Linked DNA regions of Schizosaccharomyces pombe. The protein of the gene in region 1 interacts with the protein of each later gene in a pairwise test. Each region holds a gene or a part of one and is shown on either strand. Other genes may lie near its edges. The genes, in order: SPOM_SPAC3G6.07, nce103, sen15 and pop5.

Evidence for each region.
Region 2: the proteins of SPOM_SPAC3G6.07 (region 1) and nce103 interact in a two-hybrid assay, tested with the Schizosaccharomyces pombe proteins (one large-scale study listed by BioGRID).
Region 3: the proteins of SPOM_SPAC3G6.07 (region 1) and sen15 interact in a two-hybrid assay, tested with the Schizosaccharomyces pombe proteins (one large-scale study listed by BioGRID).
Region 4: the proteins of SPOM_SPAC3G6.07 (region 1) and pop5 interact in a two-hybrid assay, tested with the Schizosaccharomyces pombe proteins (one large-scale study listed by BioGRID).

The regions. Positions count from the first base shown.
Region 1 is NC_003424.3:5,390,426-5,394,274, forward strand, and holds SPOM_SPAC3G6.07 (uncharacterized protein), read left to right. Parts: upstream 1-1,799; 5' UTR 1,800-1,847; coding exon 1,848-2,225; 3' UTR 2,226-2,473; downstream 2,474-3,849. Other genes in the region: FEN-1 endonuclease Rad2, read right to left, coding at 1-282, 664-754, 824-836; erv1 (sulfhydryl oxidase), read left to right, coding at 3,263-3,811.
Region 2 is NC_003423.3:3,639,919-3,644,774, reverse strand, and holds nce103 (putative carbonic anhydrase), read left to right. Parts: upstream 1-2,590; 5' UTR 2,591-2,824; coding exon 2,825-3,559; 3' UTR 3,560-3,833; downstream 3,834-4,856. Other genes in the region: histone lysine methyltransferase Set6, read left to right, coding at 1-957; rpp201 (ribosomal protein P2), read right to left, coding at 1,191-1,214, 1,278-1,586; protein mug45, read right to left, coding at 3,834-4,856.
Region 3 is NC_003424.3:3,389,654-3,394,030, forward strand, and holds sen15 (tRNA-splicing endonuclease subunit Sen15), read left to right. Parts: upstream 1-2,605; coding exon 2,606-3,037; 3' UTR 3,038-3,232; coding exon of another isoform or gene 3,233-3,375; 3' UTR 3,376-3,453; downstream 3,454-4,377. Other genes in the region: U3 snoRNP-associated protein Utp7, read right to left, coding at 175-1,737; SPOM_SPAC959.11 (uncharacterized protein), read right to left, coding at 2,256-2,621; alpha-1,2-mannosyltransferase Omh6, read right to left, coding at 3,233-3,375, 3,472-3,758, 3,830-4,296. UniProt on the Schizosaccharomyces pombe protein: Non-catalytic subunit of the tRNA-splicing endonuclease complex, a complex responsible for identification and cleavage of the splice sites in pre-tRNA. It cleaves pre-tRNA at the 5' and 3' splice sites to release the intron.
Region 4 is NC_003421.2:2,196,597-2,202,234, forward strand, and holds pop5 (Rnase P/MRP subunit Pop5), read right to left. Parts: upstream 3,260-5,638; 5' UTR 3,098-3,259; coding exon 2,678-3,097; 3' UTR 1,461-2,677; exon of another isoform or gene 1,258-1,460; 3' UTR 1,130-1,257; downstream 1-1,129. Other genes in the region: yop1 (ER membrane protein DP1/Yop1), read right to left, coding at 50-332, 466-516; nucleoside triphosphatase Ham1, read left to right, coding at 4,922-4,928, 5,033-5,134, 5,192-5,256, 5,393-5,466, 5,513-5,544, 5,586-5,638.

The DNA.
Region 1 (3,849 bases):
TTGGCAAACCGATCCACCATTTCAGCTGTACCAACCTCTTTTGTCTCCTCTTGATCCTCTCGTGCTTTTTGATGTCGGGCCACACGTTTAGCTAATTCCCCTGACTTCAATGTTGGTGGTTTTCCATCAAAGACAAAGCAAGGCTTTATTCCATTATCGACAATTCGGAGTGTACGATAAAACATTCCCATTAAATGACTAGTAGTCTCGCCTTGTTCATTCATTAGCTGTTGACCATCTTGACTGCGAACTTGAATTAAAAATTGATAAAGACTCATTGACCTGTAATATACGAAATTAGCATTAATAAAGTACCTCAAGAAGACTTTATAAATCAACCCTTCGAAAAGGAAAGAATCAGTTGAATAGAGTTTGACCTATTAGTGTTTGCAACTTCAAGAACCAACAAAGTAAAGAAATGATGTAAAATACCTTGAGCAATGAATTTAACCGAGTCACTGTTAGTGAAAATTTATTCATCCTTTATTCTATATTTCGTTTGTATCATATCTTTGTCTCGAGTTAAGACATAGAGCTTTGCTCTTTAGCAATAAAAACTGTACACCATAGTGTTTAACCCATATTTACAAACAAAATCAGAAGCCATACAGTCTTTGCCAAGTCAACTGAGACTTTCGCTTTCTATTTAGTCTTTCAACTTACGCATCTATAGCCACTTTCCGTCCAAAATAATTTTTAATATCATTATGTTTGACACTGGCTGGGGCATGCTCGCTTAGTACTTGAGCCAAACCTAACCCAGATTAGTTTTAAGTAAAGGAGAGAGTAAAAGATAAACTCTTTAGCGTTAAATGTAACATACCTTTAATTCCCATCGTTTAGCAAATATACTTATTTATGTATATTACGAGATCCCGAACAACGCTTTCTCCAAAACTAGCTTAGAGCTTCTTATTAAATTTTCAATTTTTGCTAGATGTATTATACTCCTCAAAATCGAGCAGTTTTTACTTTGCTCACTCACACAAAGGTTCTTAGCTACCAGCAGTAGTATCCACGTCAAAGAGTCGATTCAGTAAATCACATGTTACTTTTCCATAAAGAATGATCGACCAAAGAATGTAAATACAAGGAAAGGGACCAGCCAATTTATACTGAAAATTCCCATGTATTATAGCTTTTAAAAAAGGATTTCTAGAAGGAACAAATTAGAAATTTTAAGATTACCAAATTGAGGTTCTTGTGGTTTTGGTGGCAGCACGGCTGTAAAATGTAAATCACCTCGCAGTTTACTACCACGAAAAGATCTCGAAAAGGTAATGTACCATCAGAAATTCTGGAAAAATGATCGATTCCTTTTTCCGGATAAGGAATAGGATGAAAAGTACATTGGAACTTTACCGAAACCCTATTGACTTGGCTAGATGTAAGTCTGTGTAACATAAGGTTGTTTTTATGAGAATAAACCAGTGGTTTTACGGTACTGAGATACCGTAGTGAGAAAGCCGCTTGAATTGCTCAACGTAATATTTTTAATAGAACAATAGCCTTGATTCATGGAACAATGTTGGATAATAGGCATTTTACCAAGAGAGTATTATTTGAAACTCGCCATATCTGCTACTGAATCGTCGAAAATATAATCGTAACCAGTTTATGGTATCGCTTGTGTAGTATGCAGACAACGAACAATATTGCAATATTCTACTAATAAGGTTCCTTTACCGACGTATTTCGTGCGGATCAAAACGTCATTCTGATCTTACGTTGGCAAATTCTAGTTAATGTCGGCTCGTTGAAAGAATATTATATGAGATGCTGCGCGCCTTGCTTACAGTATACTCATATCCCAGTGCAACCTCAATTTACCTGTGAAAGCAAGAACAATGTCTGAACAAAGCTCGCCATACTTAACATTGGCACCTGCCGATTACGAAGGAGAAGATGTCTCTAATGAAAAGGAAAAAAACAGTGTTATTCCTGATGTTATAGACTATTATAACAAAGGTAGACAATATTACCAATCGTTTGTGGTTTATAAAGCAACTGCTAATACCATTTTCCAATTTTCATATTTGTTGTATATATACATCGACCTCACTAAAGCTGATCAAACCGAAGTGTTACAATTTCTTAAAACATATGTTGAGGATGAATCGTTTGTTGGAGATGATTTTGTTATGCCAAAGTATACACTGGTTTTACCATATCGAGTGTATCGTGATCATGTAAAAAAACATGGAGATATTATAACGCCAAAGTGAAGTGCTAAATCTATTTTAATGTTTTCTTTTGTTTTTAAAGAACTTTCTGCTTGCATGAATCGCTCATTTTATAAGCAAATACCAGTTATATTGCTTCGCTTATTGTTATGATTTTTATGGATTCAAATCTAAAGAGAATTGCTAAATAGTGATTCATTAGTTAAGTTATTTATTTTTTAAAAAAAATAATAAATTCAACAAAATAAATGTAATCCTTTTTTTTTGGATCTTTTTTTCTGCTTCTTTGCTTTGCAAGTATTGAATTTTTTAAGTTTTTTGAATTTTGTAGCTTAGTAAATCGATCTGTAACCTTTTGAAAAAACAAACTTAAAAAAATACATGTTATAGTATGCACAGTGATATAATCAAAGTTGAACCTCTATTTGTTGATCCCAAATCGAGTTAAGGAAACATTCCTTAATATTACATTACTTTTCGAATTTACATTTGATTACAAAGAATGAATCTTGTTCATTGCAAAAAGGGTTCAAAATGTTATTCGAGTTTTATTCTCGATTATTGATGCACTAGGTTTGAATGTATTATGTTTAGTCTTACAAAAAAAAAAATAAGAATAAAAAAAAAAATAAATTCAGGGTTGGCTCCTAAAATTAGGTATGGTTTTCAAACTTTTATGCGATAAACTTATAATACTTTCCTAATTTCACACAGTACGCTTTATAGTTCAAATCTTCAATTTATTAAAGGACTAGTTTTACGTGATAAATGTTTACATCTAGACAACTCAAATTAGCTTATTACAAGTTTTAATAAATACGATTTTAAGCCATAAGCCTTTGGACAAGAAAAACAGCGAAATTCGCAACAGTTCCATATTTAACAGTGGTGTTTTCAAATGCCTTTGTTAGTAATCAACGGCGCTGAAGTACTACGTTATATAATTATTTGGTTAAAAGTAGATGAATTTAACTTGTAAATTGAGCATCATACATATTTGGCTGTCGAATGCTACTGACAGAATCATTTGTAGGTAAAAATTTGGTATTGTCCGTTCCTTATTTCTCAATCAAGTTAAAATGGTTTTTGGAAAAAGATATCGCGATAAGGAGACAGGAATTATTTACGACGAAAACGGGAGACCTTGTAAAACATGTAACATATTTTCTTCCTTTCGAAATGTTGCTCAACAACCTAATAGTAGCACTGTCCCTGAAGTAAAGTCAAATACCCAGCTTGAAAGCAAACAATCATCTATAGATTGCAATACCAATGCAATCCCAGATAGCGTATCGTTTCCCAGGCTTCCAGATGTCGCTGAACTTGGAAGGAGTACTTGGACGTTCTTACATGCAATGGCCGCCAATTTTCCAAAAAATCCAACACCCACTCAACAAAATGATATGTCCAGTTTTCTGTACAATTTTTCAAAATTTTATCCTTGTTGGTCTTGTGCAGAAGATTTACGTATTTGGATGGCTAAATATGGAAATTCTCCTCGAGTAGATAGTCGAGAATCATTGTGTGAATGGATATGCGAAGCACATAACGACGTGAATGAACGACTAGGAAAACCCTTATTCAACTGCCAAGTTTGGTCCAAAAAAGCCTCTGAATTGGCTGACTAGAGGGACACAAACCTGTACTGAGATTGAATACCTTACTT
Region 2 (4,856 bases), on another chromosome or scaffold:
CTAGCTGTTAATGCTATGAATCTTGTAACTTCGTCTTTCGATTCTTTGGGTATGTGTTTAGATACTATACTCTGTCGCTTAAATCATTCTTGTGATCCAAATTGCCAAATAATTTTCGATGGTGCAATTGTGCAGCTTGTTTCTAAACGTGATATTAAGAAAGATGAACAGCTTTTCATCTCATACATTGATATTCGACTTCCAAAGTCAATCAGACAGAAACAGCTTCTCAAAAAGTATTTTTTTTCTTGTTATTGTCCAAGGTGTGAGAACGACCACACTACAAAAGAAACAGATGGTTCAAAATGGATGGGACGACTTCGCAACTCTAAATCGCTTATGAAAAATTTAGCAATGGCCAGGGACTTATGGTCCTGTGGTTGGAAACAAACCGCTTTTCCTTGGTCCAATCTTTTACATCATATTAAACTAGGAATGCTTGATGAGTCTAATTTCAATGGTGCGTTTGCCGCTTTATATCTGAAAAGTAGTGCTGATGAATTTTTGGATGCACTTCATGTGGTTGATGAGTATCAATTACTGCTTTTGGGAAAGCAAGTGGCTATGGAAGTAAAGCATTTAATGTTTCCTAATGACAAACCTTTGGAGATGGAGTTCCCGTCCAGCTCTCAACCTCAGCAGACTGTACCTACCAATAACTCGTTATTTTTATTGAAGAATATACCATCATTTGGAGGGTTACACCACTGTATTTTGGGCCGCTATTCTATTTCCCTTGATGATTTTGTTTTGTGGCTTTTAGATAGGGCTCAAAGGCTACAGCAAGCAGTTAGAATAAGTCATCCTTCGACCACATTTTGTTCAAATGTGGAAAATGACATTAAAGAAATATTTGAGGTTTGTAAAGACTATTGCATGCTTCATGTTCAAAACAATTTGAAAGCATTTGAAGAAAAATTATGGGCCGCTTGTAAAGACTTCCTAGTAACATACTAAATAAAATTTATTATTCTCGAAACAACGACTTGCTTTACAAGTGTAAAGTCTCTTATATTCAAATCAACAACACGGGGCACCAGTGGTACATTAACATTTAAAGTAAGCTAAAATTACATTTATCAAACGAAAAATACTATTACGAATGGAGCACTAAAAAAAAATTGGTAAAATAAAACCAACACGGCGATTTATTTTTATGAAAGCGTAATGAAAACAAGGGATCATTTGGTTTAGTCGAAAAGACCGAAACCCATCTAAAATTGTTAGTAAGATGCTTTTGAGAAACAAAGAATGCTTCTTATCTAAAATTAACTTACGTCTTCATCAGATTCCTCCTCTTCCTTGGCTTCCTCCTTAGCAGCCTCCTCAGCAGCAGGGGCAGCACCGCCAGCAGCGGCGGCAGGAGCAGCAGAAGCAGCACCACCAGTGGGGACAGTAGCAAGCTTCTCGTTACCAGCAGCGATGAGCTCGTCGATATCCTTACCGTTAAGCTCGTTGATCAAAGTTTCAATGCGCTCAGATTCAGCTTCAATACCGACAGTAGACAAAACAGACTCGATATCAGAAGCGGAAGGGGAGTCCTTTCCACCAACGGTCAAGAGTAAATAAGCTGCAAGGTACTTCATTTTGACGAGGAGTGCAGTGCGTGTTGATGGCAGAAAGTATTAAGCATTCACAACACTAAGGGACTCGAAACTTTTGTGACTGGTTTTCGAGTTAGGTTAGGGTATGTGTTTGAGTGGAATGCTGCGATGATTTCTAAGGTTTGTTATATTCGTTTAGTTGACGAGCACGATATTTACAAGCTTTTTCTACAAGTTCAAATCAACCTAAATAGTTGTTAGTTAAGGGCGTGCTAATTATTTTTATAATAGTAAGAAAACCGTATGCACAAAGAGGCATAATTAATGTCATACACGTATTTGAGTTTATCAATGGGAATTGAAACAAACATATTAATGTTTGGTAAACTGACGGTTTAAATATAACTTCAAGTGCTTAACTTACTGGCCGAGACTTGAAATAGCTGTATAAGCTATTGAATAAATTTTCTCAATTGTCTTTACTTTCATTTCATTCCTCCTATTATGGGTAACAATGGGCAATTGTTTTTTTTTCGTCTTTTTTTATAGTAATGTCAGCGGTGCCCATGTTAACAAATGTTTCAATCTACAAAACCTAATTATCGCTTAATTTAATTTTAGATTAACTTAATCGAAAACACGTATAACGATAAGACGATATACTCGTAATTGATAAATGACGGATTCTTCTCCAATAATTTTGTGTTTAGAAAAAAAAAATTTCGCACGGTTGCGAAATCTTTATGGCTGTCAACATTTTATTCATATTTGGGACAATTTGCAATTTTAAGCCAATCGTATCCGGTTTTTTGTTAACTGCGAAGCCGTCAAAACTATCCGTAGGTAGTCCCTTGCAAAGATCTAGCAAAATAAATTACATTATATAATAGATAAACCAATAAACCTTACCTACTCGACGGACGGGACGGCTTGTTATCGGAGTATTAGCTATACATCAAAGTTCATCATCATAGCTTTGCTCACATCACAAACGTTTCCATTTTTGTCGTGTGGTATAAAAACGTATCATGCTCCCACCATTCGGTGCTTTGACAACTACAAAAATTCCGCTTCCAAAAACCATACTCCAGTCTACCTTTAACCAAATAAAAAGTAGCAGCTACTCGATAATAGCGGCTCCGCGGTTAACATCGAGATTCATTCGTTTTCCTTGTAATTATAATAGTTGTTTACAATCCATATCTTTTTCATCGCTTGGAAGAAAAAGATTGTTTTTTTCGTCTAGTCAATTGTTAGAGAAAAGTGATAAAAAAAAGAAAATGCCTGATAGATTGAAACGTCGTATTGAGGAAATCGATCATCAAGACGAGATAATCGACAGAGAAGCTTCAACCGCTTCTCCCGTTTCTGGCGCTGGTAAAATTGACCAGAATGGGGAAATCAAAGATTTGCTTGAACGCAATCTGACTTGGTCACAACAAACTAGCAGAAAGTACCCATCCTTTTTTACAGCCACCAAAGATATTCAAACTCCTCAAGTTCTTTGGATCGGATGTTCAGATTCTCGTGTTCCTGAGACCACCATTCTGAATTTACTTCCAGGTGAAGTCTTCGTTCATCGAAACATTGCCAATGTCGTTCCTCGTTCTGACATTAATGCTTTAGCTGTTATGGAGTACTCCGTGACCGTATTAAAGGTTAAGCACATCATTGTCTGTGGCCATTATGGATGCGGTGGTGTCGCTGCTGCTCTTGGTCCTAATTTAAACAATTTGTTGGATCATTGGTTGCGACACATCCGTGATGTTATCGAAGACAATCGTGAAGAACTTGACGCCATTGAAGATCCCCAACTTCGTCGCCTTAAACTTGCCGAACTTAATACTCGTGCTCAAGCAATTTCTGTAACCCGGGTTGGCTTTGTTCGTGAAGCAATGGAAAAGCGTGGCTTACAAGTTCATGGCTGGATTTACGATCTTTCCAATGGTCAAATCAAAAAATTGGATATCACGGACGCCATCAAAAAGGCCAAATACGGTACTTATGATAGTTAATTTCACTGGAAGTTTTCTCAACCTCGACTTGGTTACGATTGATTTATGTGAGTTTTTCTGTTTGTTTTTTTTGTTTAGATTTTTACTATCTCCGATTGGTTCAAGTATTTAAAAGTTTTGTAATAAGTTTATACCTTTTGATGAAGTATGGCATATCGAACGAACTGCGCATTTGTCGCCGTGTCTTGAATTAGTTATATAATGATTGACAAGACGGACGATACCTTAGATGAAAATCGATATAGCAATAGTAAATATAGTTTCATTGACTGTGTTAATTCGTGTAAATAAAAACAACTTGTAATATTAGATAAATTCCTATCAAAAGAGTCAACAAACACATGGCCGTTGTGCTTACATTAACATTCAAGATAACCTCAATTAGCTCAAGCAGTAGCTTTATTATATTTTTCGCGGGTCCATATATACTATAACTATTTTGAAGGATTATAAATTCGCTTTTGAAATCAAAATAAGTGTAGTTTTGTCTAGGTTCAAAATCGAAGCCTCCATTTTGACTAAAATAAAATGAACCATCGAATAATAATGTACTGTTTGTGTATACAATGGTTTGAAATTCAACCAGTGTACGTGAATCGGTGGGCGGTAAAAATTGGGGAAGATAAACACGATATTTAAATAAATTATAGCGTTCGGGTTTAATTAATATTCCTATCTCCAATAAAAGTATTTGTTTTCTCGAAGTAGTTCGAAAAAAATATGTGCCATCCTTGCAAAAAAAATTAGCTTCACAATTATCCACATAAGCCCAGGAAATCCACATATTTTTTGATAGTTTTACCCCATATACATCCCTTTCCCTGGCGTCATTAAATATATAGGAAGAAGAAAAATGCAAAAAATATTCATGCTTGCTTATTTGTAGTATTTTAATTGTTGGACGCAATAAATGAAACTCCTGGGTAGGATAATTAGTTTTAATTTGCAAATTCCTATTAACCTTTTTCAGAAGTTTGAAATGGCAGTAATCAGAGATTTCTTGAATTTGGAGTACAGGATTTGTAAGCAGTCGCCAGTCTGCTAAAAGTTTGAACTTTAAATAAATATCATAATACTCCAATAATTGTTTAAAACAGAATCTGTTATCACCCTTAACATATTTAATCACCGGTAATTTTAATGCAGTTTCATAAACGAGTCTTTCTGAAAGTATTACAGACAACTCCAAAGTCTTTGTCGCTTCAGTAACTTTCACACATTGAACGTCAATAAAACTGATTACAGTTTGCTCAGGGGTTTGAGATTTACTGAAATGTAATCTAGTGTTTTCGATATA
Region 3 (4,377 bases), 2.0 Mb from region 1:
ATATGCTTGCACAATGTACAATTTTTCAAATAGGCATTTTATTTTTTTTGTGAGACATATTTAATACAATAAATCCGTAACCCTAAATACCTTATACATCACATAGTCATATGTAATTGGCAAAATCTAATGCAAATATTCTTATTATTAGCCCAAGTATTATACACAACCGAATTATTTTTTGGAAACAAATCTTGATAAAGCATATCCCCATTTTTCCCGTTCCTCTGGAAGTTTTTGCTCGCGACGAACACGCTGAGCACGCATTTTTTTCTCTATCTCTAAAGATTTTTCAACTTTGAGACGACGTTGGTCAACAACGTTTCTGGCATGTTTGCGTAAATATCTTCGTAAAGCAGAGTTTTTACCACGGGCTTTTGCCTTTGGTACCCATTTTTCTTCAGGCGGCTTTTCTTCCTCGGCTTCAGCCTTTCGAAGCGACGGTGCAGCTCTATCAACATTACCGATAAAATCAGCATTCAAAGAAATCATTTCTGGGCGAAGCTTCTCCAAAAGTTGGCGAACTTCAGTTTCTTGACGTTGTTTTCGAGAAGCAAAAGGATCGTTTTCATATGAATCATAATTGGGTTCACCAGATCCAGGAACAATGATGCTTTCGAATCCCTTTGCATGTCCGATACCTAAAATATCCTCATACGGACAATAATGAAGATCAACAACGGATGAAGAGGGAAGCAGATGATTCATGTATGGAAAATTTTGTTTAGTTCGTAAGGCATCTTTCCAAATCGTAGCATGTGGTCCCCATCCAACGGCTAGCAATCCCCGGTCACTGAGGGTTAAGCGCTGAGCAGGTGTAGGGGTGTAATAGGAGTGAAGCTCTTTGTAAGTTCGAAGGTCCCAAACTTTCAGTAAACTATCGGCACCAGCGGTAACCATATATCTGCCATCACGATTTACTGCCAAATCACGTACAGGCCCGCGATGAGTAAGCATTTTGACAAGAGGTGTAGTTGAAGATGGAGACCAGAGGGTAACCTGGCCATTTGCATGACCAACATGTTCAACAGCGTTATGGGGATTTTGATGTAATACATGGCTAGCACCCATTCCGGTACGGTGTTCTGCAACCAATTGTCCAGTAGAGACATCTTGGTATTTCAAATAGCCAGCATTGCCAATACTGGTCAATAGTAAGTGATATGGCAAAAAATCTAGAGCATTCACTTCGATATGCCGCTTCAAACAGTGAATTTCTGTTCCCATATTATCGTAAACGTAAACATACTTCTTTTGTGCAACAGCAAAATATTGATGGTTATGAAACCATTTAACATCTCGAACGGTCTCTCTTAAATGTAGCTCTGTGAGTAATTTACCAGTACGCCAGTCAAACGCGGAAATATGACCTTTTCTTCCACCTAATAAAATCATTCTTCCATCTCTTGTATAATCAAATGAGTAACCACCAAACTTATCCAAATCCAAGGAGAAAGACTTTGTAGCCGTCTCAAGTGCAACATTAGGAGCCAGTTGATCTTGACGAAACTTGTATGTCCTTTCAAGGCCCTCGGCTTCCAAAAGACCGGGATTATCTTCATGTAAGATTTCGGTTTTCGCCAAGGAAGACTCAACATTCTCAATTCTCTCCTCGATTTTCTGAATATTGCTTCGAAGCTTTTTATCCTTGATTTTCTTTGGATTCAGCTTGCGCCCTCTAGAATATTTTTTTGTAGAAGCATTAACATCCTCCAAATTCAACTTTTGAGCAGACATAATGCTAACTAAGTAAAGATATTAGTGAGGAAAAAAGATTTTTTTTTCTTTTTAGGCCTGATTATACAAAAAAAATGAAGCAGTTTTCTAATAAACAATTCTTTCCAAAATTTAGGTATCTCCCTTAGTCAAAAAGTTAGAAACCCTTCAATTTTTACACAAATGTATTATGTAAACGAAGTGATAGTTAAAAAATTCAAACACTACGTTCGACTTCGATTCTATGACCCAACAGTAGGTTTAGGTTGAGGGCAGGTGGAATGTAGTTCTAGGAATAGGATTTGTGCGTTCTTATTGTAAAAAATCAGAAACTACTACTAACACAATTAGATACAAACCACAATTATTTACAAATAATACAAGTATAATAAAATAAAATTTCATAAAAATTAAGTATGCAAAATAAAAACAAGAAAATTTTAAAAGTAAACCCGAAACCCAGTAAAAACATTATAAGTTCAGACAATGGCCAATGCCAAAACTGCGAAATGAACCATGAAACGAAAATAGCTCAGGAATTAATTCTCCTGCTTTTTGGTCATGGAAAGAAGCTGGATCGAATTGGATATATCGCTCATCTTCGAACCGCTATTATGAGCACTTCTTAGTACGCTCTGCGTAGTGTTGTAATCATCAATACTCTGTAAAAGGACGTTTTGTTGGTATTTGTTGTTTTTAGAGGAGTTTTTGTTTTGTTTTGAGGATTTCTTAACTCCTTTTGAAGTCTGTTTAGGCTTTTTTGACTGCTTGTTCCTTTTCTGTGCCATTTGGTTGAAGTTAAAAGTTTTATCACGGAGGCGATAATTCATTTTTTCAACAAAATTTTCCTTCTCAAAAGTAAAGATATATTTATTATAAACAAATACACATGCAACATAATACATTTCTCCCTAACGATGCTGTAGAAGAGCAAAAGCAAAATCCATACTATGGAATACTGAGAGCAGTGGAAACCGACTTAAGGCTCGGTCAACGTTGGTGTGAATTAAAGGTACATGTTCTTGATATTGACTTAAAAACAAAAAGGCCTTTACTCTCAGGGATTCCCGTAAATGGACAGCTCAAAGACAAATTGCAATATGTTCTGCCGCTTTACCTCCAAGAGACAATTTCGATCGAGTTTCTGTCCTCTGTTTTCGATTCTATGAAGAAACTGAGCCTTCCACTTGTAAAGGATGCTCGAGGTCTTTCTGGAGATGAGTTTTTCCTATACCTGGGAATCATGTGTTCTGACTCAACGATAGTATATTACAAGATCACCGATGGACTTATAAAACCAAGGCAAAATGATGAAGAATAAACACATGATATATACATATTTATTGATTAGGATTGAAAAACGGAAAGACAACGCTATAATTTTACCACTACCAGATTAATTTTTCACTTCAAGTGTCTCAACGTTTGTAAATGAAAATGCACATATTACAATAACTTTCATAAAACAAATTCGTATGAACAAAAATTTTCTGTAAAGCTCATTCATCAATTAATATCACAAACATGCACATCTTCCTGTGTATGGAATAGTTTCTGGGCAATAATGAACATCATCGTTTAAGAAAAATCCCACTGATTCCATATGATTAGCACGCGCTCTTAAAACACCAAATGCTGCTGAAAGGATATCAGACTCGGCTAAATAAATGTCAGCAAAAAGTACAACGTGAAGCATTTATATTAGAAACAGGTTAAATAAAGTCATTTCCAAAATTGAAGAAGCAATTTACTTACTCCAGCGATGATAATATGTTCCTCCTGAACCAAGCAAGTAATTAATTAGGTTGGTGTAGGTCTGATTATGCCGAATTTGCTTTAGAGATAAAATTTCATTAAAAGGCCAGTATTTACAATAGGTGTAGTTGTTACTATAAACCCAGATATTGCTGAAATCTCCTTGAGTGTTTAAAATTTTGTATTCTTCAATTGCCTCTTCCATAGCATATATACCAGAGTGTTTACGTTCACAGACGTGGTTTGTAAATACAATGTCGCTGTCTTTGAAAGTAGAAAATATATCTCTGAACAAAAATATTAGTTAGGTTTCCTGAAAAAGAAGAACGAAATAAACAAGTTTTACCGAGTTTCTTACTTTTTTTCTTCACAAACCAATTTGAGCCCGGGTTCTATTCTCCAAACATAATCGTATTCCAATTGAGGATGATATAATAAAGATCGAACTACCCAATCTTGAAAACTGTGAAACAAAGGAGAGTATACGTAAGATAGATTCTCTTGAGCAAGTGCATCTGCTCGTTGTTGATAAAGTCGATTGTTTTCAACTAGGGGTTTTACTTGAGAAAGATCCCAATGCACTAAGTAAGAGATAGTTAGAATAAATTGTAAATGATTGGTATAAGTTATTCCCTTCGTACCGTATTCACAATGACCAGACGCAATCGTGCTTGTCGTACTCATAAAGTATTCCGTAAACTCATCCATGCCGTAAAACGTCCAAGGATAATGAAACCTCTTATTAAATCTATCCTCTACGCTACGCATCGTGCGCAACACTTCCCCAAGTTCAGCATTACTAGAAAACAGAATTAGAAAGTACATCTCAAATGGCACCGTACGCGGTAAACATCAGAAAAGAAGCACTCAAATTGGAGCTTTGAGGTTCATTAAGAATCACATATA
Region 4 (5,638 bases), on another chromosome or scaffold:
TAATGATCTTATAATCACGCCTCTAAATACAAAAAATTTAAACACTTACGGACATAGTAAAGGATTAGCTGAGACCAGTACTCAATAACGTTGAGGAATGAAGTTACCAAATAATAGGTCAACCATTGAGTGTCATCGGCCTTGTTAGTAGTTTCAATAGCATTGATACTAAAGAAGGCAGGCATCGCGAATGCCAGAAGGTTGGTCAGTAAAAATCCACCCCAGTTCAAGAAAAGGAACAAGGCATATATACCAGCTGCAGTAAGAAAAACATAAAGCTTGCTAACACCAAAATTTTTTTCCAAACTGTTGAGTTGAGGAAAGGCTGCCAACTGGAAAAAAAAGTTAGTAAACAAATTTGAATAGAAAGAATAATTTCTAAAATCACAAGATACTAATAATAGCCTATATTGCCGAGTGCGTAAAGCGGCTTCCATCGGATATCCTGCCTTATTGCTAACATACCCTGTTATCCAAATCTTGCATATTCTGCTTAACACGAACTTGAAAAGACATTTTGGTACTGCTTAATTAAATTATCTGAGTGTTCAATAATTTTTCTTTTGAACGAACTATTTGTCTTAGAATATGGGAGTTGTTTGCTAAAGATAAGTTTGCATTTATTCTATCGGTGGTAGTGAACAACGTCACGATTACAGGCATTCGCTTCGTACCGTCAGTGTGGTATATTAATTAGTGCATAGGAAAGTCGCAGTAAATACGATACTGTATAGTACAAATACAATCCGATTTTCAAAAGAATTGCCGTATGTATTTTCAGCCGATCAAACAGTCATCTTGTGTTTCTGTCTAAGTTTATTTACTTCATTACCAAAGCATTTAACAGTAAAAAAACCATAGCAAAAATGAGCGATTTACTTCCACAGTATGCTACGTTGTATTGTTTTAACCAAACCATGAACAACTGGACTATGCAGTTCGCTAAAGTCAAGCCCTGCAAAATATGTACGGTTGCATTATCTAAAGTTAAGGAGGACAACCGAACTTTACGGTTCTCTGATTTAAAGAATGTCTACATTACATACAAGTCTGCATAGATATATATCACTACCAACATTACTCTTTCAATTGTAATTAAATTACTACTAAATGTAAACAAGTTTTGACTTAATAAAGTAAATTTTTAATTTCTTATTAAATTTATAGTATCGGTAATTATCAAAAACTCGTGGATCGAATAAAAAAACCATCTCAAGAATAGGATGGTGTCTAACTGTTAAAAACGGCTTCTTTTATCTATTTCAAAATTAGTAAAGAATTTTCAAACTTAAGACCAAAAAGTTTTAAGCAAATGAAGAATTTCATCAGTGTAACTATGACAAAATGCTTTATCACTGCAAGAAGGCAACCAAAACGATTACCCCGTTATCCTTGCTATACAATTTGGGTATATATTTCGCATCCTCTGAAATCTCCATTTGTGAAATGATGAAACTTACCTATTTACTATTTAGATGAGCACACTCCAGGTGAAAGAACTATGCAAAAGCAGAAAGCACAGTGCCCTTTATATTCTTCTTAATGTGACTGTTTTTTTGGGGTTTTCAAGAGAAGATATCATAAAATAGCATACATAGCTGTTAATCAAGGATAAGAAGAAGTAATGTTCATCGAAAATAATTGATAGATTAGTTTATTGATATTGTTAATCATTTGAGTAATTTCTGATGTTTTCGTTATAAGGATATGGTTGCTTCTTTGACTCAGTAGGATTGTTATCTGGTTTTTAAAATCGTTACTTGAGAAAATCCCCTAATTTAAGGAATTTTTATATGTTTGTTGGGATTATAGCTGTCTTTGGCTACTGTTAACTGTTGTAATGACAATAGTTTTGGTTTATCTTTCTTACTTTAGACCTTGTAGAAGCACCGGTAAATGTCAAGCAAACTTTTCAAACTGTAAAGTGTATACAGTCTTTAACGACATAGAATTATAGCATCCGTCAACAGCTAAATAAATTATTCGTTTGTCTGTAAAAAATAAAATTGATAACGATTGCTGGAAATTTAGAATCATTGGGATATATTAAGGATGTACCTTCCCACGAAGAAAACACATTCATGAGATGTTTACTGAGACCTGCAATGATTTTTTTCATTCCAATACGTAAATGTTTATTTTTTTATGGGCAAAAGTATGCATTCGTAGATACAACTCTTTTTGGCCGTTGTCAAGCTTAACAGATGATACAATGAAAATAGTAAACAAGGTATTCCCAAAACAGACGATATCTCATTTTCCAAGAGAAAAGTATTAACTTAATAGCTCCAAGTTCATCAAATTTTTTTTTGGCGATTGAATAGTTGTATAGTTTAAAGAGTTTACTCATACTTGGCAATGGAAATGCAGCATACTTGTTATTTAGATCTTCCCAGATCCTCAATTTCAAAATCTAAACAGCTATGGGTAAACATATGCCTCCTCTCTGGATTAATGAATTAAAGTTTTATATGAATATACCCATGAGAAATAAGGTGGATACAGCAGCAACTTTCTGCACACACTGCATCAATTGGGTTTTGGAACGAAACCAAGGAATCAATATATAAGTTTGAAGCACATGAAGGCATAAAAAAAATTTCGTCTTGAGTTCGATCTTTAGAGGTGAAGTCAAAGTAAAAACTTGCGAACCCAGCAAATGCCAAAGATGGAGGGTTTAAACTTCAATAGGTTCATCCATCAGAGAGATGTTATGAATTTCTGATTTATTTCGTTCAATGGCAGCTAATTCTGCCTTTTTTATTGTACCAGATACACGAACCACGCGAATTATTACAGGCTTGCCATATAATTCCCTTATTAAAACTAATGCGGCCCATGCCAAACGAAAATGCTGTCTTGAGACCCGCAGAATGCCAGTAGATGTATTAGGTGAAAAATATTTTACAGTTAGACTAGATGCAACCTTTCCAATACCAACATCACCGAAATTTTCTGCAACCATGGTTCTAATTATTTTAGAAAGACTAGACGTAGTTATAGAACTATCAGAAGGGATAGTAGGATAGTCAAAAAACTCTTTTGCTTCAGGATATAATACTTCAAAAAGTAAATATCGGGATTTGAAGCGAACCATAGTTTTACGATATATATATTTTTTGTAGTTTAATCAGCGATTTTGATTGAAATATGACCTTTGAGACAAATAATAATAATAAATTATCGTTATGCTATAACAAGAATAAATAATGCTGGAAATGGAATTGCCCAAAAATGGATCGTAGTGGGTATGAACGTTGCTACTTATTGCACACCGGTTAGAGAAATGTAACTTGCTCAACGAATAAATTTCTCAGAAAACAGTTTATAGAGACGTCTGTGTTATAATTTATTGCTTTTAAGATTTAATGGAATAGAAATTTAAAGAAAAAATCATATTATCTAACAGGTGTTTACAATGAACGATTAGAATTAGTCGTAAATTTCAATATGTTTAATTGCTTTTGCTACATTGCCATAGCGGTAGATAATTTGTTTAAGATTAAGTAAATGGTATTTGGTTATAATTAGACTAGAAGACATGCAAATTCTAAATGCACGATAATCATGCTTACGACACAGTAAACATTCATTTTTTAACTTTAAATCCCTTTGGAACAAACAGTTATAGAGGTCTATCAGAAACAATTTCAACATCCTCAGAAAATGAATAAATTTTAAATAAAATGATTATTTTTTTATTAATCGTTTGGTTCCTTGCATGTATCTATCCCTGAACAGTCAGAATATACAAATCAATGAAATCATTCGTACATTCAGTGGAATCATGAACTAAGTCAGAGCATTAACACCTCGATTATTCAGTAGAAAACGTTACCCTGTATCTACTTGATATTGCTTTATATATGACCATGAATATTAGCTTCAATTGATATATGAATTTGTCATGGGAAGAAGTTGTAAAGCATTCCTCCCATTCTACTGATTAATATACAATGGGATAATTATCGTAGTTAGTAGTCAAAGGATAACATTGATTAAATTTAAATTTATTCTGATGAAATGTAATCTTTATTCATATAGGTATGATGATCTATAAAAAATGGAACTTTAGTAAACTTTTTTTGGCCTTCATAATAAAAAGGATGTAGGTAAAGAATGTAATATTAATAAAACATGGGTAGATAAAAAAAATTTAAATTAAGAGTAATAATTTTTGAAATACTGCAGGATTGAAAAGGAAAGACTTTTCAACTCAAATGAAAATAAAAAATATATGTAAATTCAATTAAAATTGGAATTAATAAAAATTAATAAGTTGCAATTTGAGAAAGCTTTTTTAATTTTCCCAGATCTTTGGGAATAAATAATTATTAATAATTATTTCGAATTCATAGCTATGAATTTTCGATGATACGTAAATTTCCAAAGGTTCGTGTAACTCAACGCACTTTTTAGGTCATGTTGGTTTGTATTAAGTAGAAGAATATAAAAATTTTTTTGTTAACGATTTAAGCAGGTGGTATACAAATGTCAAGAGTTGCTTGCATTTACTTGTGAAGAGAGTTCGCTTACATGTTTACTAAATTTGGTGTATATTTTGCTCCAAAATTTTAAAAGATTGGTTATTTTTTTAAGACTAAAAAATCTTTCAGCTATTGTTTTTACGTAAACCAACCTTTTTCCTAATACTTTTGATTTACGCATTTGTTGTACAACTCATTTATTGTCTTACATGGTAAATTGACAATTTTCCAAGATCGCGCGCTTTAGTAAAATAACAATATATAAGCGTATATAGTATATTTTTTATGAGTTTATTCTTATAAAAAATATTTGAGGACACATACGATGAACCAATGTATAAGAAGCAACTTACCTTTTCACCAATTTCAACAGCTGTTAAGAGTCGTTAATTGTTATAGAATATAGTATACTCTAAAAACGACAGGATATCAAGATGACAAGTAAGTCAATTTTGGAAGGATTCTTCATAATTAATTAATGTGCGGTATCTGCATCTTCAATATTTTTCAGCGGAATGATAACTAACAAGATTGCTGTCCCATAGTACTACAGTCTATTTTATTCGTCACAGGAAATAAACATAAACTGGCAGATGTAAAGAATATCCTTGGTGACCGATTTGAAATCAAAAACCATGATTACGATTGTATGCAGCTATTCAATTTTCTCGACAGCAAATTATCGCTAACATGATGTTTTAAAGTACCGGAAATCCAAGGAAGCGTCAAGGAAGTTGTTTTAGAAAAATGTAAAGCTGCCGCTGAAATTGTAAGTTCAAATGATGGTTTAGGATTATGCTGATCAATGCAACGAATTATTATCGCAATGGTTATTCGATTGAATCTTGTTTTTACTTCTCTTTGTCATTCTTCATTTTATCGGAGCAACCTTCTAACGCTAATAGGTTAAAGGACCTGTTTTAGTCGAGGACACATGGCTAGGCTATAAGGCAATGAATGGACTCCCTGGTCCTTATGTGTATGTGAATGCAGATTGTGAATTTTATAAAAGTTAACAAAAGTAGGAAATGGTTTTTGAATAGTGTGGGTCCTGATGGTATGTACTATTGAACGGATCCCATAGCTAACTAGTATAAGGACTTTATCGCATGGTCAGTGCATTTGATACGAAAGAAGCACAAGCTGGGTGT